Caenorhabditis elegans: one gene and its partner. The protein of the gene in region 2 interacts with the protein of the main gene of each other region in a pairwise test. Each region holds a gene or a part of one and is shown on either strand. Other genes may lie near its edges.

Region 1 (7,405 bases), on a different chromosome or scaffold from region 2:
TTGGCTTCTGCCAACGAAAAAGGTATAAATATTCATTAAAAAACGGATTGAACAATTTAACTTTTCTTCAGTAATTCTCATTCGGCATAGATATGACAACGTAGCTGAAGGCTACATTGACATTAACATCACTAGATTTATACCAGTGAGTCTTTTATATGTATTAAAAATTTCTTTTTTTTAATATTTCGGATTTAGAAAGCTCAGAGCAAAACGGGTGATTTTTTTGCTTTCTCTCTGAATTTTCGAATAAAGTTTTGTTGGATACCATAGTTAGAGGCCAAAAATTTATTCTGTGAATGCATTTGAAAACGGTTTGTTTTTTAGAATACTTAAAACTAATCGACAAACAAGCACAGGCCAGTTAATACTATTTTTTAAAACTACAAAAAGAGTTAACTACAAATTCGTGTAATCAAAATTTTCCAAGTATCATAATATTAAAAAATGAACTCAACATTTAATGTGTTGCTTTCAGAGTCCTGTATACTTTTACTACGAGCTGCATGACACATTTATGATGCACAGATCCCTGAACCAAGCATATTGCAAAAAGCAGTTAATAACAGGAGAGTCGAATGAATGTGATTCCTTCAAAAATCAAAATTACTCTTGTGAAAATGCAGTGTCCCGTTCTTTCATTCCAAAAATGGCAATGTTTTGTGTTGACAACCAAAAGTATTATGCTCCTGTTGGTGGAGCTGCTAGTATTATGTTCAATGGCATGTTTTCAATTCAAACACTAAACATATTTTTCTTCTTTAGACTCTTTCAGTTTAACATTCAACGGCTCTCCAATTGCTTGGACCGAAGAAGGGGTGATCGCTGATAAACTACGCCACATGTTTTTCGAACCTAACGAGACAAACTTATGCGACGCTGAACAGGTGACACATTCAAAATTGTTCAACAATGAAATTTCAGTATCAAATTTATTAGTAAGGTTTCAGTTTCGAGAAACTTTGAAACCGATTGGATGGAAACATGAACTTTGTGAAATGGGCGGGTATCGCAATATTTCTCTTATCAAATGGTTAGAATCAGCGACCAACAAAAATTTCAAGAAATTCTACAGAATACTTAATACCACAAAACATAATGGGCTATATCAAGGTGTTCACAGATTGTATTTTGATAATGAATGTAAGTTGCAAGTTTAGGTGTTGTAAAAAGGTCTCCCAAACGGAGAAGTCAGCAAAGAGTAAAACAATGAAAAAACGTAATGGTTGGAAGAAAAACCAAAAACCCGTAAACATTGAAAATTTGAAAGACGTTCGAAAATAGCTTTTCGTAGGATTTAAAATCCAGTTTTTTGTATTTTGCTTGTAATTTGTTTTACCACTCCTATATGATAGCAATTCTAACAAGTTAATAATGAGGAACACTCTTTAAAAAAAGTAATTAAACAACCATAAAAACGTTAGAGAACACTATATATATGAAGAATTATTAATTATGGCGGAAATTCGAAAATTTATACTTTTCTGCTACTTTGAATATCGGAGCATAATTGCATGCTCTCCTAATACATTTATTTTCATATACGACAGAGAATCATAAAGTTGTCGAGTGATTCAACTCTAAACAAACTAAAGTAATTATTCCAGATAAACCTGGATCATTGATTAAAAGCACATACCCGATGAAGAAATTTTTCTGGATTTTGCATCCATCTTGGGTTGGGACGGATCAGAAGTTTTTGGAGGTGATGTACTTAATAGTTGGAACGGGTTTACTTGCATTATCTTGTGGTCTAATTGGATTTCAAATATTTATCATGAGTCGGAGGAAAACTTATGAAGACGATGATGACTATTAATTGTGTTAACTGAAAAGCTATTTAAATTTTTTATAACTTTTAATTCTTGTGATGAGATTATTTTCTAAACAATAAATCGCAAAAATATGATCACTGCGTCTCGCCATTTTTTTCAACCATTACATCAGAACATATGTCTTCGTCTTCGTCTCACGCTACACACGAAAAGTGCCTCTCGCAACCCACGGTCTCTCCGTCTTGCCGACTTACTCTCTCCAGCTGCCACTCTTTCCTTACCACTATTTCACTTGCGTCCACATCTAATGCCATTGCCGCCCGGTTAGCTCAGTCGGTAGAGCACCAGACTCTTAATCTGGTTGTCGCGGGTTCGAGCCCCGCATTGGGCTTACGTTTTTGCATCTTTGATATATTTTTTGAAAATATGTTCTACTTCCCAAGTTAAGAAATAACAATGTTTTGCTGTGGCAGTTCATTTGTGGTGAATGAAACAAGAAACACATTGAAAGAGAAGAAGTGAAATTGGCTAATATAATTTCTAATGAAGGAATTAATATCCTGGAGCGGTTCTTGGTGGTGGGCAATGGTCGCATCCTCCGCGGGATCCTTCCTTTCCTGGGGCTCCTGGTTGTCCGTCGGAACCAGATTTTCCTGGGGCTCCGTCTGGTCCATTCTCTCCTTGGTCTCCTGGTGCTCCTGGTTGTCCGTCGCGTCCTGGACGTCCAGCGGCTCCTGGTGGTCCCTTTGGTCCTTGGGCTCCTGGTGCTCCTGGCTCTCCGGCTGGAGATGGTGCAACGTTTGATCCTCCTTGTGGTCCAAGTTGTCCTGCTGGTCCATCAGCTCCTGGGTTTCCAGATGGTCCACGTGGTCCTGGTGATCCACGAGCTCCTGGGCGTCCAGCAAGTCCGTCACGTCCTGGCTCTCCAGCTCCTCCGTTCTCTCCGTCTGGTCCTGGACGTCCTGGTGGTCCAGCTGGAGCCTCTGGGCAGTCGAAGCAGAATTGGCTTGCATCTGGCTTGTAGTCATCTCCATCAGCATCCTCTCCTGGGTTTCCTGGACGTCCGTTTGATCCATCCTTTCCAGCGGATCCATCAAATCCTGGTGGTCCTGGTGGTCCAGCTGATCCAACTCCGCAGGAGCAGCAGGTTCCCTCAGCAGCACGTGCCTTTCTTGGAGCTCGGACTACATTAAGCTTGGCAAGCTCTCCCTCAAGAGAAGTGGCACGAACTCGGCAGAAGTTGACTTCATCTTGAAGGGAAGAAGAGACCGATTGGAGGTAAAGACAAAGCATTGGCACGGCGACGATGGCAGTGAGGGTAGACACCGTGGAGACAGCGATTCCGAAGAATGCGAACCTCTTCACTTTCTCGGTTTCGAATTTCTTATCCATCGTCATCTGGAAAAAGTAAAGTGATAATTGAAAGTGAAATGAGGTGAATAGAAAGTGAAGTACCTTTGAAAACAGCAGAAAAGATGGAACTGATACATTGGATGTCACATCGCCCGCTTTTATATACAATTCACTCTGTGGGTAGCTGTTGATAGTTACCGAAACGTTACACAAAATGGTTTTGTGGATAGACAATCTGCGCCTCTTCGCTCTCATCGCCGCGCAGTCAAATTTTTTTCATATTGATACGTCCTGGTTGCGGTCATACATGGCAACGTTATCACATGAGTTAGAGAAACAAAGGATGGATTGAAAAAGTACAGAAAAAGAGCGAGAGAATGATAATGAGTGTGTGATACGCGGATGGTGCCTGGCGCCTGATTTGTGGCCGTTTCTGTTCTTTCTCTGTACTTTTTTGGTTGGCAAGGAACAAGAGAATTGGCAGAGAGTGCGGGGTTGACAGTGTACTTCCTGAAACGATTTTGGCAATGATTGTGTTTGTCGGTTTTATCTATTGGTGTTTCTTTTTTCAGATTGACATCGTAATCAAAGTTCGAAAGCGAGATTCAAGATGTGCTTTAATCCATATTGTCTGCCTGATTTCCATAAAAACGTTCCATGTGATCAATAAAACTCACTACTGTGAAATTGAGGTTACTGTGTGATAAAAATATCAGTTCAGATTATTGAATTCAAAATCACAGAGAAAAGGAGGCAGCTTATGACCATTTTTTGAAGTTTTAACAGGAAAACTGTAATACAGGATGTTCACGCACACCGTAGTTATTAATCCATCAGCAACCATGAGTTTCTTTAAACGTTAATTTCAAGGTTTCCCCGGGTTTCATGGTTATTTTCATCATATCTGTGAAAAACTAGTTCATACTTATTCTTCTTCAAGACAGTATAAGTTTGACAATGTGATCATGGAAATTTCCTATGTGGAATTCAATGAATGTTGAATCAAAGCTAGGTACTATTGAAGAAAATGCTTTCAAACAAACTACACATTTCTCAAAATAGTGCTCTAAAAATTAAATCGGTTGTTAGAACTTTGAGTTACCACTTTGAATTACCGGCAGTTCAAAAAACTAATTTGTTTTAGAACGGCAATAAGATAACATTGACGCACATTTACAGTAATCTAGTGAAGTTTGTGTATTGAATTTTCAATAGAACATTCACATAAATCACTATTAAATTTTGCTTGCTCTAAAGATTAATACTTATTTCAGGATGCTTCTTGTGACAGAAAGGTTCAAACCTCTATCTTCTTTGTTCTCATTAGATTCTATCCATCTTATTTATATCCGTCCTCCGGGCTCGTTACACCAACATTCTCTTATCCCGAAACACAACAACATTCGCACAAACTTTTGACTTTAGCTGCTCCTTTATTTTATAGAAAATCAATAAATTTTCAATGATATTTCTAATTTTCTCCATTTTATTTCTACATCTTGCCAATTGCGATTATACTGTAAGTGTAATTTGATGACTAATTCAATCCATCATTTTCTGTGTTCTAGCCAGATTGGGAGTCGCTTGACAACCGCCCTTTGCCATCTTGGTACGATGACTCAAAGTTTGGCATATTCTGTCATTGGGGACTATACTCGGTGCCTGCGTTCAGGTAAGTTTTTCGATTGTCAAGTTCAATTGGAATGTTTTTGACTGATAAGAAAATCATTTTGAAAGAAAAAAAATTGAAATTACTGGTTTGCAAACAACAGGGAACTTTCATTTTCTTATCAAATGGCAACCTGAACACTATTTTCAACTTTTTTCACTTTCGATTGGAGATTTTTGTTTCGTTTTTCTGTATAAACAGAAAGGATAAGTGAAAACATTCCAGTGGTTTTTTCCATACAAATTAAGGATGATAACGATAAAAACAAAAAATATAAAACAAGATCCGAATGGATGTGGTGGTATTGGAAAGGAACACAACCAGATAAAGACGTTGTAAATTTTGTGGATAAAAACTACAAACCCGGAACGACATACGCTGATTTTGCTAAAGATGTTTGTAACATTCTTTTGTTCGCAATTGAAAGTGATTTTTGTAGTTTACCGCAGAGTATTTCAATGCGAATCAATTTGCTGAAACTGTGAAAACTTCCGGAGCAAGGCAAGCTAGTTTTCAAAAACGTTTTTTGTGTAACTCATCTTTCGAAAGTTCAGATATTTTGTGTTTACTAGCAAGCATCATGAAGGCTTTACAATGTGGCCATCTAGAACTTCATGGAATTGGAATTCAATGGATATTGGACCAAAGAGAGATATTGTTGGAGAACTCAGAGATGCTTTCAAGAAAACGGATGTTCACTTTGGTCTCTATTTTTCACAATTTGAATGGTTTCATCCGATGTTTTTGGATGACGGGAAGTTCAACACCACATTTTATCCAGAGGTAGCCACAAATCTGTAAATATAATGTTGTCACTCTAACACCTTAAATAAAAAAAATCATATTTGACTGAAATTGAAAATCATATTTGAGCAGTTCGAAGAATGTATACTGTTCTAGCAAAAACTATTCTTCATTATTTGTTTAAAATCCAACATTTTTCAAAAATCTGATTACGATATTTAGTCATTGTATCATAAAATATTTTAAACTGTTTCCAGCCCAGGCCGTAATCCACCTTCAATTTTCTTTCCATTAGTAAACTTTAATGACGAACATGAAATTTATTCCAGCAAGTATCATATCCTCAAATGATTGACATCGTCACAAAGTATAACCCCGAAGTAGTTTGGAGTGATGGCGAATGGGACAAGTCGGATGATTATTGGAAAGCAAAAGAATTTCTTGCATGGCTCTACAATTCTAGGTTAGATTTTACAATTCATAATCTACATTTTGATTTTTCATTGGCAGTTTCTGACTCAGTTTGTAGAGTTCTGACTTTGAATATTTCGAAATTCCAAATAGGAGTTTTGCTCGAATGTCCTACACATTTTCAGTCCGGTCAAAGATCAAGTTGTCGTCAATGATAGATGGGGTACTGGTACAATGGGAAAACACGGCGGATTTATGACATACTCAGATCACTATGATCCAGGAAAGCTATTAGAGAAAAAGTGGGAAAATTGCATGACTTTGGATAAACATTCATGGGGAAATCGGAGAGACATGAAAGCATCAGAAGTGAATACAGCTTACGAGATAATCGAGCAGTTGGCAAGAACAATCGCGTGCAATGGAAACTTGCTATTGAATGTTGGACCGAATATGCATGGACAAATCCCTGCTATATTTGAGGATCGACTCGAAGAAATTGGCAGGTGAACATTTATATCGAATTTGTATTTGAAAATTAAAAAAGTTTGTTAATAATGGGTATGTCTACTACACCAAACACAGTAACGAAAATGTGTTAACCGTACACAAATATTTTAAATATTTCGAAAGCTTAGAGGTGGTAACTTTTTTACGTTAGTCTAAATTGCAGTTTAGCTTTCCGTTAGAAACGTTTTATTTTGGACAGAAATGGATTTTTAAAAATGTAACATAACAATTCTTAAATTTTATTTGTCCTGAACTTGTTGAATTTTTGCAGTTTTATGACACCTTTTGGCAATGTTATAAATTTTTGCTCGAAGTTTCAAAAATTTTCTACAAAGTTCAAACGTTTTCCATTCTAAATATCTATTTATTTTCCTTTTAAGATCGATACATTTTTTAAACATTCTAAATTCTTTGTCCACTTTCTACTATTTAAAATCTCCGTTTTTAAGATTTGTGAACATCACATCCGAGGCCATATTTGGTACAAGGCCATGGATTCATCAAAACGACACCAGTGCTTCAAATGTTTGGTATGTCGAATTTCAACAACTGAGCACACATGTCTTTTCAGGTATACTTCCAAATATTCATCGGGAAAGAAGCCATTGAAAAATTTGTATCAAAACGTTTACAATTTTCAATTGGAAGAGCACACCATTGTTTATGCTTGGATTCTTGACACCTCACACGAGCAGTTTGAGTTGAAATCAGTGAAAACAACCAAAAATGTGAGACACTCGACTAACAAAAATTGAGTGAACTGTTTTTAAAATATTGCATATTCGGTGGTATGGTAGACACCAACAACGACCTATGACAAATTAGATTTTTTTTTTAATTTCAAATTTCGCTCAAAATCTCAAAATAATTATTTTAGTATACCTATGGCCGAAAAAAAACTGAAGTGAATTTAACTTAATGTGTATGATGAAAAAAAAACAAC
Region 2 (7,335 bases):
TCACAACACTTTAGCAACGAAATGCCTGCGTCTTCTCTAGGCCACTTTTTTGCAATGTTTCCGCCGCCCGGTTAGCTCAGTCGGTAGAGCACCAGACTCTTAATCTGGTTGTCGCGGGTTCGAGCCCCGCATTGGGCTTATGTTTTTTATTTTTTTTAAATAAACACAACTCAACGTTTTATTCGTCCACCACCACTCCTTTACTCTAAACCCCAGCTGTCAGTTTCTACTGGAAGAGGGGTAACATGTACTTAGACTCCAACTACAAAACGTCCTGCGTCTCTCTTCTCTTTTGGTTCATTTTCTCAGCACTCTCTCATCCCAACACACCCTCTCGCACAACACGCCAGTCATTTAGAAACACGCTTTACATCAACTTCATGTACTTTTCACTTTACATCGAATTTTATGTTCTGAAAATTGATTAATTTAAACTTAAAAATTACCAGGATGGAAGCAGAGCCGTTGGAAACGGAGCAAGATGAATGGCGAAAAGAAAGAATGCGAGTTTTGGACGAGTGGTGTGAGGTACGTATTTTTAAAATTATTTTTCAAAAGTGTTTCACGTTTTTAATAGATTTTCTAAAGTTTAATTTTAATTTTTAAATTTTAAATACGAAAAATCATAGAAATTTTAATGTTTCGCTTAAAAATCGATATCAGCGAAAGCTTTTGAATATTTTTTGAGTTTTTGCGAAACAAATTTTTCCCAAAAAAATTCTAGAATTTTGTAAATAAACCAAGAAACAAATAAATCAATTTATCCTACTGTAACCTTAAAGGCGCATGCACTGAAAATGTGGATGGGTCTAACAGCGAAAAATTAATTTTTGACGAATATTGTGTATGCGCCTTTAAATTTACAGTAGGAAAATTAGAGATTAAATTTTTTGAAAGTTTAATTTCAAAAAACTAAAAAAAACTTTTAAACACTCGAATTTTCGTACTGTAAACTTAAAGGCGCATACACAGAAAATGTGGATGGGTATCACAGTGGAAAATGTATTTTATACAAACATTGTGTATGCGCCTTTAAATTTACTGTAGGAAAATTAGAAAATAAATTTTTAGAAGCCTGATGGCAGAAAAAAAGAAAAAAACTAGAATTTCCTTGAAATCTGGAGATTTTTTTGTGAAATTTAAATTTTCCAGATCGAGCTAAAAGGCGCAGACGCTCTCAAAATGGATGTAACCCGTGAGCCAGGCTCCCCCACAGTTGCCGTCGCCCCAGAAACTTCTCTTCAAGACCTCTACCCCCTTCTAATTGCCACGTCATCGTCCAACGCACCACCAAGTGCCACGCCCACCGATGACGTCACAGATCCAGAAGTACAAGTAGTTTCCCGGGAATCAATCGATAATCGATCAACATTCAATCGGATAATTGACGTTTGTCTGTGCAGGCCTGTAAAATCACAAATGGGCCCGAAAGCCTATACGGATAAAACGCTAATTTTAAAACTCGCTCAAATACCCTATGATCATGAAAACGGAACACACTGGCTTCTCCTCTCGGACTACTTTAACAATGTTTCAAGATCCCTGATGACGTCATCAGAATACTCTCACGTCACTAATCCGTCACGTGTTGGCGCGCATTGGGTTACTGTAGGCTTTCAGTCGGCGACACCGCACACGGATTTTCGAGGTTGCGGAGTTCTTGGCCTACTTCAAATGCACACTTTTACGCAGAGAGTACCGGCGAATTTACTTCGAGCAATTGTACTTCTTGCCACTACTGAACCGAATGTTAGTTTTTTATTGGGATTTTTGAAAAAAGTTGTAATAGAGCGCGCTTGCAATTTTGACAGTTTCAATTCGGAAAATTTGCAATTTTTATCAAAAATACGGTGTCCGGTCTCGAAACGACGAATTTGTGTTAAATGAGAAATGGTGTGCGCCTTTAAATAGTACTATAGTTTCAAACTTTTGTTTCAGCAGAATTTTCGCGAATTTTATGTGTTTTTATTGTTACATTTGAGTTTTTTCAATAAAGAATTTTTTATTATCGAAAAACTATTTAAAAAAACGATTAAAATTTTGCAGTAACGAAAGTTTGAAACTACAGTACTTTTTAAAGGCGGACACCCTTTCGTATTTAACAAAAAATTGTCGTGTCGAGACCAGATACCGTATTTTTGGCAAAAAAATGTTTCAATGCAATCGCGCTCCGTGCACTTTTTTAAAAAACCAATAGAAAATTTTCCAGGATTTCCCACTTGCCGTTGTTTCAATCAATATTACGAGTATTTTATTAACACAACTGAAGAAAGGAGCTCTTGATAAGTAAGTCTGCGCAAAGGGCGCTTGCTGACGCGTTTCTCGTGCCACTTGGTTTTTTTTGAAAAGAAAAAAAAACAGCACACAAGAAACATGGCATTTTCCTAAAAGTTTGAAAAAAAATTGTTTAAAAGATATTATACCAAAAATTCACAGAACTGGCAAAAACTTATTTTAATTTTTGTTTTCAGAAATTTTGAAAAAAAAACGTTTCTCCTAGAATTTTGGCAGAAAATTTTTTTTTTTCAACTAAAATTCGCATTTTTTCAAATTATTTTCCAAAAAAACACCAAAAAATTCAAATCTCGCGCCACTTGGCACATTTCTCAATAGAGCACATTTACAGCTTTGGCAACGAAATCGAAGGACTCTATCCATTCTTTTCTGCTCTCCATGCATCTGCAATGTGCCGATTTTGCTCAATTTATAAGTCACAAAAGTGTACACTTGCCAACACTCAAACTATTTTCAGTGGTTAGTAAACTTTTTTTTTTCGAAAATTGGGCAATTTTCTATGGCCAAAATCCCGGCAAATCGGCAAATTGCCGGTTTGCCGATTTGCCGGAAATTACAATCCTGAAAATGTTCAATTTTTTGCAGAAATAACCCGCCAACTCGAAAAATCTCCATTATCCCTGATAATGCTTCTAAATCCGACGAATGACGAGCTCATCAATACCCTCCTGTGATGATTGAAACTTCCCGAGAAACGAATCTGTGAAAAAATCCTTAAAGATTATAGCTTTAAATTACAATAAAAATCAACCGTTTTCGAGTTTATTTATGCACATGGTATTGGGGGAAGTGGAATACAACAATAAATAGATGGTGTGAAAAAAAGCATGAATGATAATAATTATTTGAGGCGAAAAAGAAAGCGTGTGTAAGCGAACTGAATCTTGAAAAACTCGAGAATTTTGTGTGAGTTTGCGAGCCAGTTTAAGCCTCATCCTTGTCCTTGGTTCCGTGTTTGAGCATACGAGTGAACTCCACGTAGTCGAATTGTCCGCCCTGAGAAAAAAAAAATTGAAAATTGGCTTATTTTTCAGGAAAAAATAAATATTTTAGGGTTTTAGGATTTAAAAAAAACTATTTTGCATTGGAAAATTTGGTAAAAATATGTGTTTTTTTTATAGAAAATTGTGTCGATTTACGCAGATCGTGTACTCCCCGTGGAGAAGTTTGCACTTTTTTCTGTTGAAAAAACAAGTAATTTCAACATCGATTTTTTTCCTTCAAAATCTACAATAAAAAGCGAAAATTATCGCAATTTTTTGCAAAATAAAGAAGCAAAAACTTCTTCACTAGGAGTACACGACCGGCGTAAATCGACACCAAATTTTCCGGCTGATAAATCGAAAATCTCTGAATTTTCCACGATTTTAAGAGGTCCAAAATCAAGCTTTTCGAGCCAGAAACTCCTGTTTCCCTTCTTTTTTTCGTTCCGAAGTTACAGCGATTATACCTTAATCGGAGCATCTCTAAAGAGCTCATCAACCTGTTCCTCGGAATATCTCTCGCCCATCGTGGTGAGCAACTCGCGAAGATGCTCCTCATTGAGTTTTCCCGAATTATCCTCATCGAAGCATTGGAACGCATTCCGTATGACTTCCTCCGGATCCGTTCCAGTCAATTTTTCACCGAAAAGTGTCAGGAACATTGTGAAATTGATCGGCTGTGCTCCGGGAGCCTCGTTAATCATCGAATCGATGAATTGTTCGGTGACTTCTTTTCCAAGGGAAGCGAACATATCCTTCAGATCCTCTTGATCGATGAATCCATCGCGGTTTTGGTCGATCATGTTGAATGCCTCCTGAAATTGAATTTATTTTAATTGTTCTTTAAAAATTCCGCTGAAACCAATGGATTTTTCGTCTTTTTAAATTTTTATTTTTTCGAAAAAAAAAACGAAAAATGAGGCTGTCACCTACTTTGAACTCTTGAATTTGAGCCTGATCGAACATGGCGAACACATTGGAAGTGGCTCTTTGTGGCCGTTGACGGCGGTTTACGGTTTTGCGGGAGGCCATGGCTTACTGCAAAAATTTGAAAATTTGCGATTTTTGAGGAAAAAATAAGGTCTCGACACGACAAATTTATGTTAAATACTAAAAGGTGAGCGCCTTTAAAGAGTACTGTAGTTTTACTAATTGGATTTTTTTTCTCGAAAAATCAATGAAAATTCGGGAATACAGTACTTTGAATTTAATGAAAATTTGTCGTGTCGAGACCTTTTTTTGATGCAAAAAACGTCTAGACTCCTCGAGGAAAAGAGGAAAAAAGTTTCCGTTGTTTTTTTGTGAGAATTTCAATTTTTGGCCGAAATTTTGATAATTTTTGCAAACTAATATTGTTTTTAGCATTGAAATCGCTAATTTATCGTTTATTAGCAGTATTTTTGAAACGAAAATTGATATTCTCTCAAAAAACGATGAAATATGAAGATGGTAGAAACCAAAAAAATGTGAAAAAAAACTGAAAAGATGCGGGGCGTGGAAAATATTATTTGATAACGAAAAAGCGGTGAGTCACCGCCGCAAAAAATGTTTTGTTTCAGTTTTTTTGTTTCCTATTACGATTGGAAGCGAGGTTTTCGAAGGAAATATTGATTCTCAGCGTTTGTCGCCTTGGAAAGGGGATTTGAACCGAAATATGACACATTTTTGAGGGAAATGACCGAGAAACGGAGAAAAGATTAGAATCTAATAGGCGGAGGGCATATTTAGGATGTCAAATGAGGAAAAACGGAGCGTAAATTATTTAAAATTTGCACTTTTTCGTTTTTCGGCAAAAAAAACAAGGAAAATCAGTTTAAAAGTTCCGGAATTTTTTTGCAAAACTTGGAAAAATCATCAATTATTTTCAATTAATGTTAATGTCAGGGGTGGGCGGCAAATTGGCGGAATTGAAATTTCCGGCAAATCAGCAAATTGCCTATATGGAAATTTCCCGCAAATCGGCAAATTGGCGGAATTGAAATTTCCGGCAAATCAGCAAATTGCCGGAGTTCAAAATTTCCGGAAAATCGGCAAATTGCCGGTATTAAAATTTCTGGCAAATCGGCGAACTGCCGGAAAAACGACAGGTGCCGAAAATTTTCGGCAAAATGTGGTTTTGCACCTTTTTTTGGAAATTTCAGAATTTCAATTTAAATCGGCAAAATTGTACGCACCCTATGAATGTTCCTACGTCTATTTTGAAAAATAAGCAACTTCTATGAAAATTTCTTTAAAAAGCGGGATATAAATTCCAAAAAGGCAGTTTTAAGTGGTTCCGTCTTATAAAAAGTGCCTCTACACATTTCCGGCAAATCGGCAAACCGGCAATTTGGCGATTTGCCGAACAGCACTTGCCGCCCACCCAATTCCCGGTATAAAAATGTAGATTGTTTAATATTTTCCCCCGGCCAAAATTCACATTAAATGCGACGAAATGCAATTTTTTTTTCCTCAAAACTGTAGCAGAAAATGGAGAATTCTCTCCGGAAAGCAGAAAAAACGTTATGAAGTGATTCACATGACTGGCAAACATAACATAAACGGAAAAGAGCGGAAAAACAATCGATATTCTTCGGAACGACGGGAGAAGCAGTGAAGAGAGTGAAGAGACGGAGAGAAGACAGTTCCCATTCGTTGTGTATTTATACGGAGACAGTTCCTTTCGAATGTGTGTGAAAGGACATTGGAATGAGGAGGTATATATGATGACTTGCCGATAAACAAGATATTCCGACGGAATACGGAATACGATTTAATTTCTGGGAGGTTTTGGGAACGGAATTTGGGGTCTAAACACTATGAAATACCGAAAAAATGGTTTTTTAAATTTGAAAGTACGCCAGTTTTTGCCCTAAATGACAGAAAAAATCCTCACTATACAGGACATTACTGCTGAAAAATTAATAAAGATTTCCTGAATTTTGTTTGATTTTTTAATTTTTCCAACAAAAAACCGAATAATTTTTGAATTCCCGCGCAAATAAATGTTTTCTAGATCGGTTTTTCTAGATTTTTCATTATTATTTGATTTAAAACATGATTTTTCGAATTTTAAAGAGTTTTTCCGTTTAAAAAACGCTATGACCTCGAAATAAATACACTGAAGCTTCAAAAATTCCGAAAAATGCCAGAAAACAAGTTTTCTAGACGAAAAAACTTCTGAAAAACTGAAAATTAATGAAAAATCGAGAAAAACCAACGATTTTAGCCAGAAACACGAAATTCGAAAATTCAAAAGTATAAAAATATTCCTTAAAATCGATAATCTCCTAGTTTAATCAATAATCTTCAAAAAATTCTAAACATAAATTTCGCAATGCTGCTTTTTCAAATGACTCATGACTCATCGCGCCAGCTGCGCAGCTCTATTCCATGTTTTTACAACAAAAAATCGATTTTTCTGGCAATTTTCAGTTTTATTATATAATTTTAAGCCCAATAGTCAATAATTTCAAAGAAAACGCACTTTAAAATCATTTTAAACAAGAAAAAATCGATTTAAAATGAGAAAATATGGCTGAAAAACGTTTGAACACAATTCCAAAGCGCGCCAAGTTAAAGGCGCATGCCATTTTGCGGCGAAGATATCTTGCCACGAAAGGCTCTATTTGAATTATTTTCGTCGGCTTTTCGCATATTCTCTCGCTTTTTCTTCGGTTCTGCACGCTTCCACTGATTTTTTCGAGGTTTTTCATTGAAATTATTGATTTTTGACAACTAAATTAGCCTAAAATCAATTAGAAACGCTTTATAACCTGATAATCTTGATTTTTAGCTCGATAAAAACTTGCATCATTTTTGGAAAATGTAATTTTCTATTTTTTTCTTCTTTCAGGTAAAATGAACACTGCTTCCCTTGTTCGCTCCCTGTCCCGAGTGGCTCTCCGTTCATCCCAGGTCGTCAGAATGGCCGCTCCACGCCATTTCTCACAATCGGCCAAGGTTCTGTCAGTAACGCCAGAACTTCAACAGGCCCTGAACCGTGAGATCGAAGCCGAGCAACAGCTGAGCAGCGACAATCTTCAAGGAGCCGTTGCGCCGACATTTGCTGGCTTCC

The links. Proteins that work in one complex are often made in the same cells at the same time.
Region 1: the proteins of mlc-4 (region 2) and col-181 interact in a two-hybrid assay, tested with the Caenorhabditis elegans proteins (one large-scale study listed by BioGRID).

Annotation. Positions count from the first base shown.
Region 1 is NC_003284.9:12,100,908-12,108,312, reverse strand, and holds col-181 (Nematode cuticle collagen N-terminal domain-containing protein), read right to left. Parts: upstream 3,384-7,405; coding exon 3,231-3,383; intron 3,174-3,230; coding exon 2,328-3,173; 3' UTR 2,211-2,327; downstream 1-2,210. Other genes in the region: W03G11.2 (uncharacterized protein), read left to right, coding at 1-22, 72-145, 479-722, 766-887, 951-1,143, 1,608-1,819; W03G11.3 (Putative alpha-L-fucosidase), read left to right, coding at 4,591-4,647, 4,697-4,800, 5,081-5,192, 5,237-5,298, 5,352-5,580, 5,871-6,004, 6,138-6,458, 6,912-6,992 and 1 more.
Region 2 is NC_003281.10:3,389,472-3,396,806, forward strand, and holds mlc-4 (Myosin regulatory light chain), read right to left. Parts: upstream 4,317-7,335; 5' UTR 4,311-4,316; coding exon 4,212-4,310; intron 4,094-4,211; coding exon 3,746-4,093; intron 3,292-3,745; coding exon 3,220-3,291; 3' UTR 3,043-3,219; downstream 1-3,042. Other genes in the region: elmd-1 (ELMO domain-containing protein C56G7.3), read left to right, coding at 451-528, 1,153-1,749, 2,210-2,286, 2,627-2,754, 2,881-2,969; cri-3 (Conserved regulator of innate immunity protein 3), read left to right, coding at 7,119-7,335. UniProt on the Caenorhabditis elegans protein: Regulates myosin II activity and organization during embryo elongation. May be involved in the organization of mlc-5 into bundles.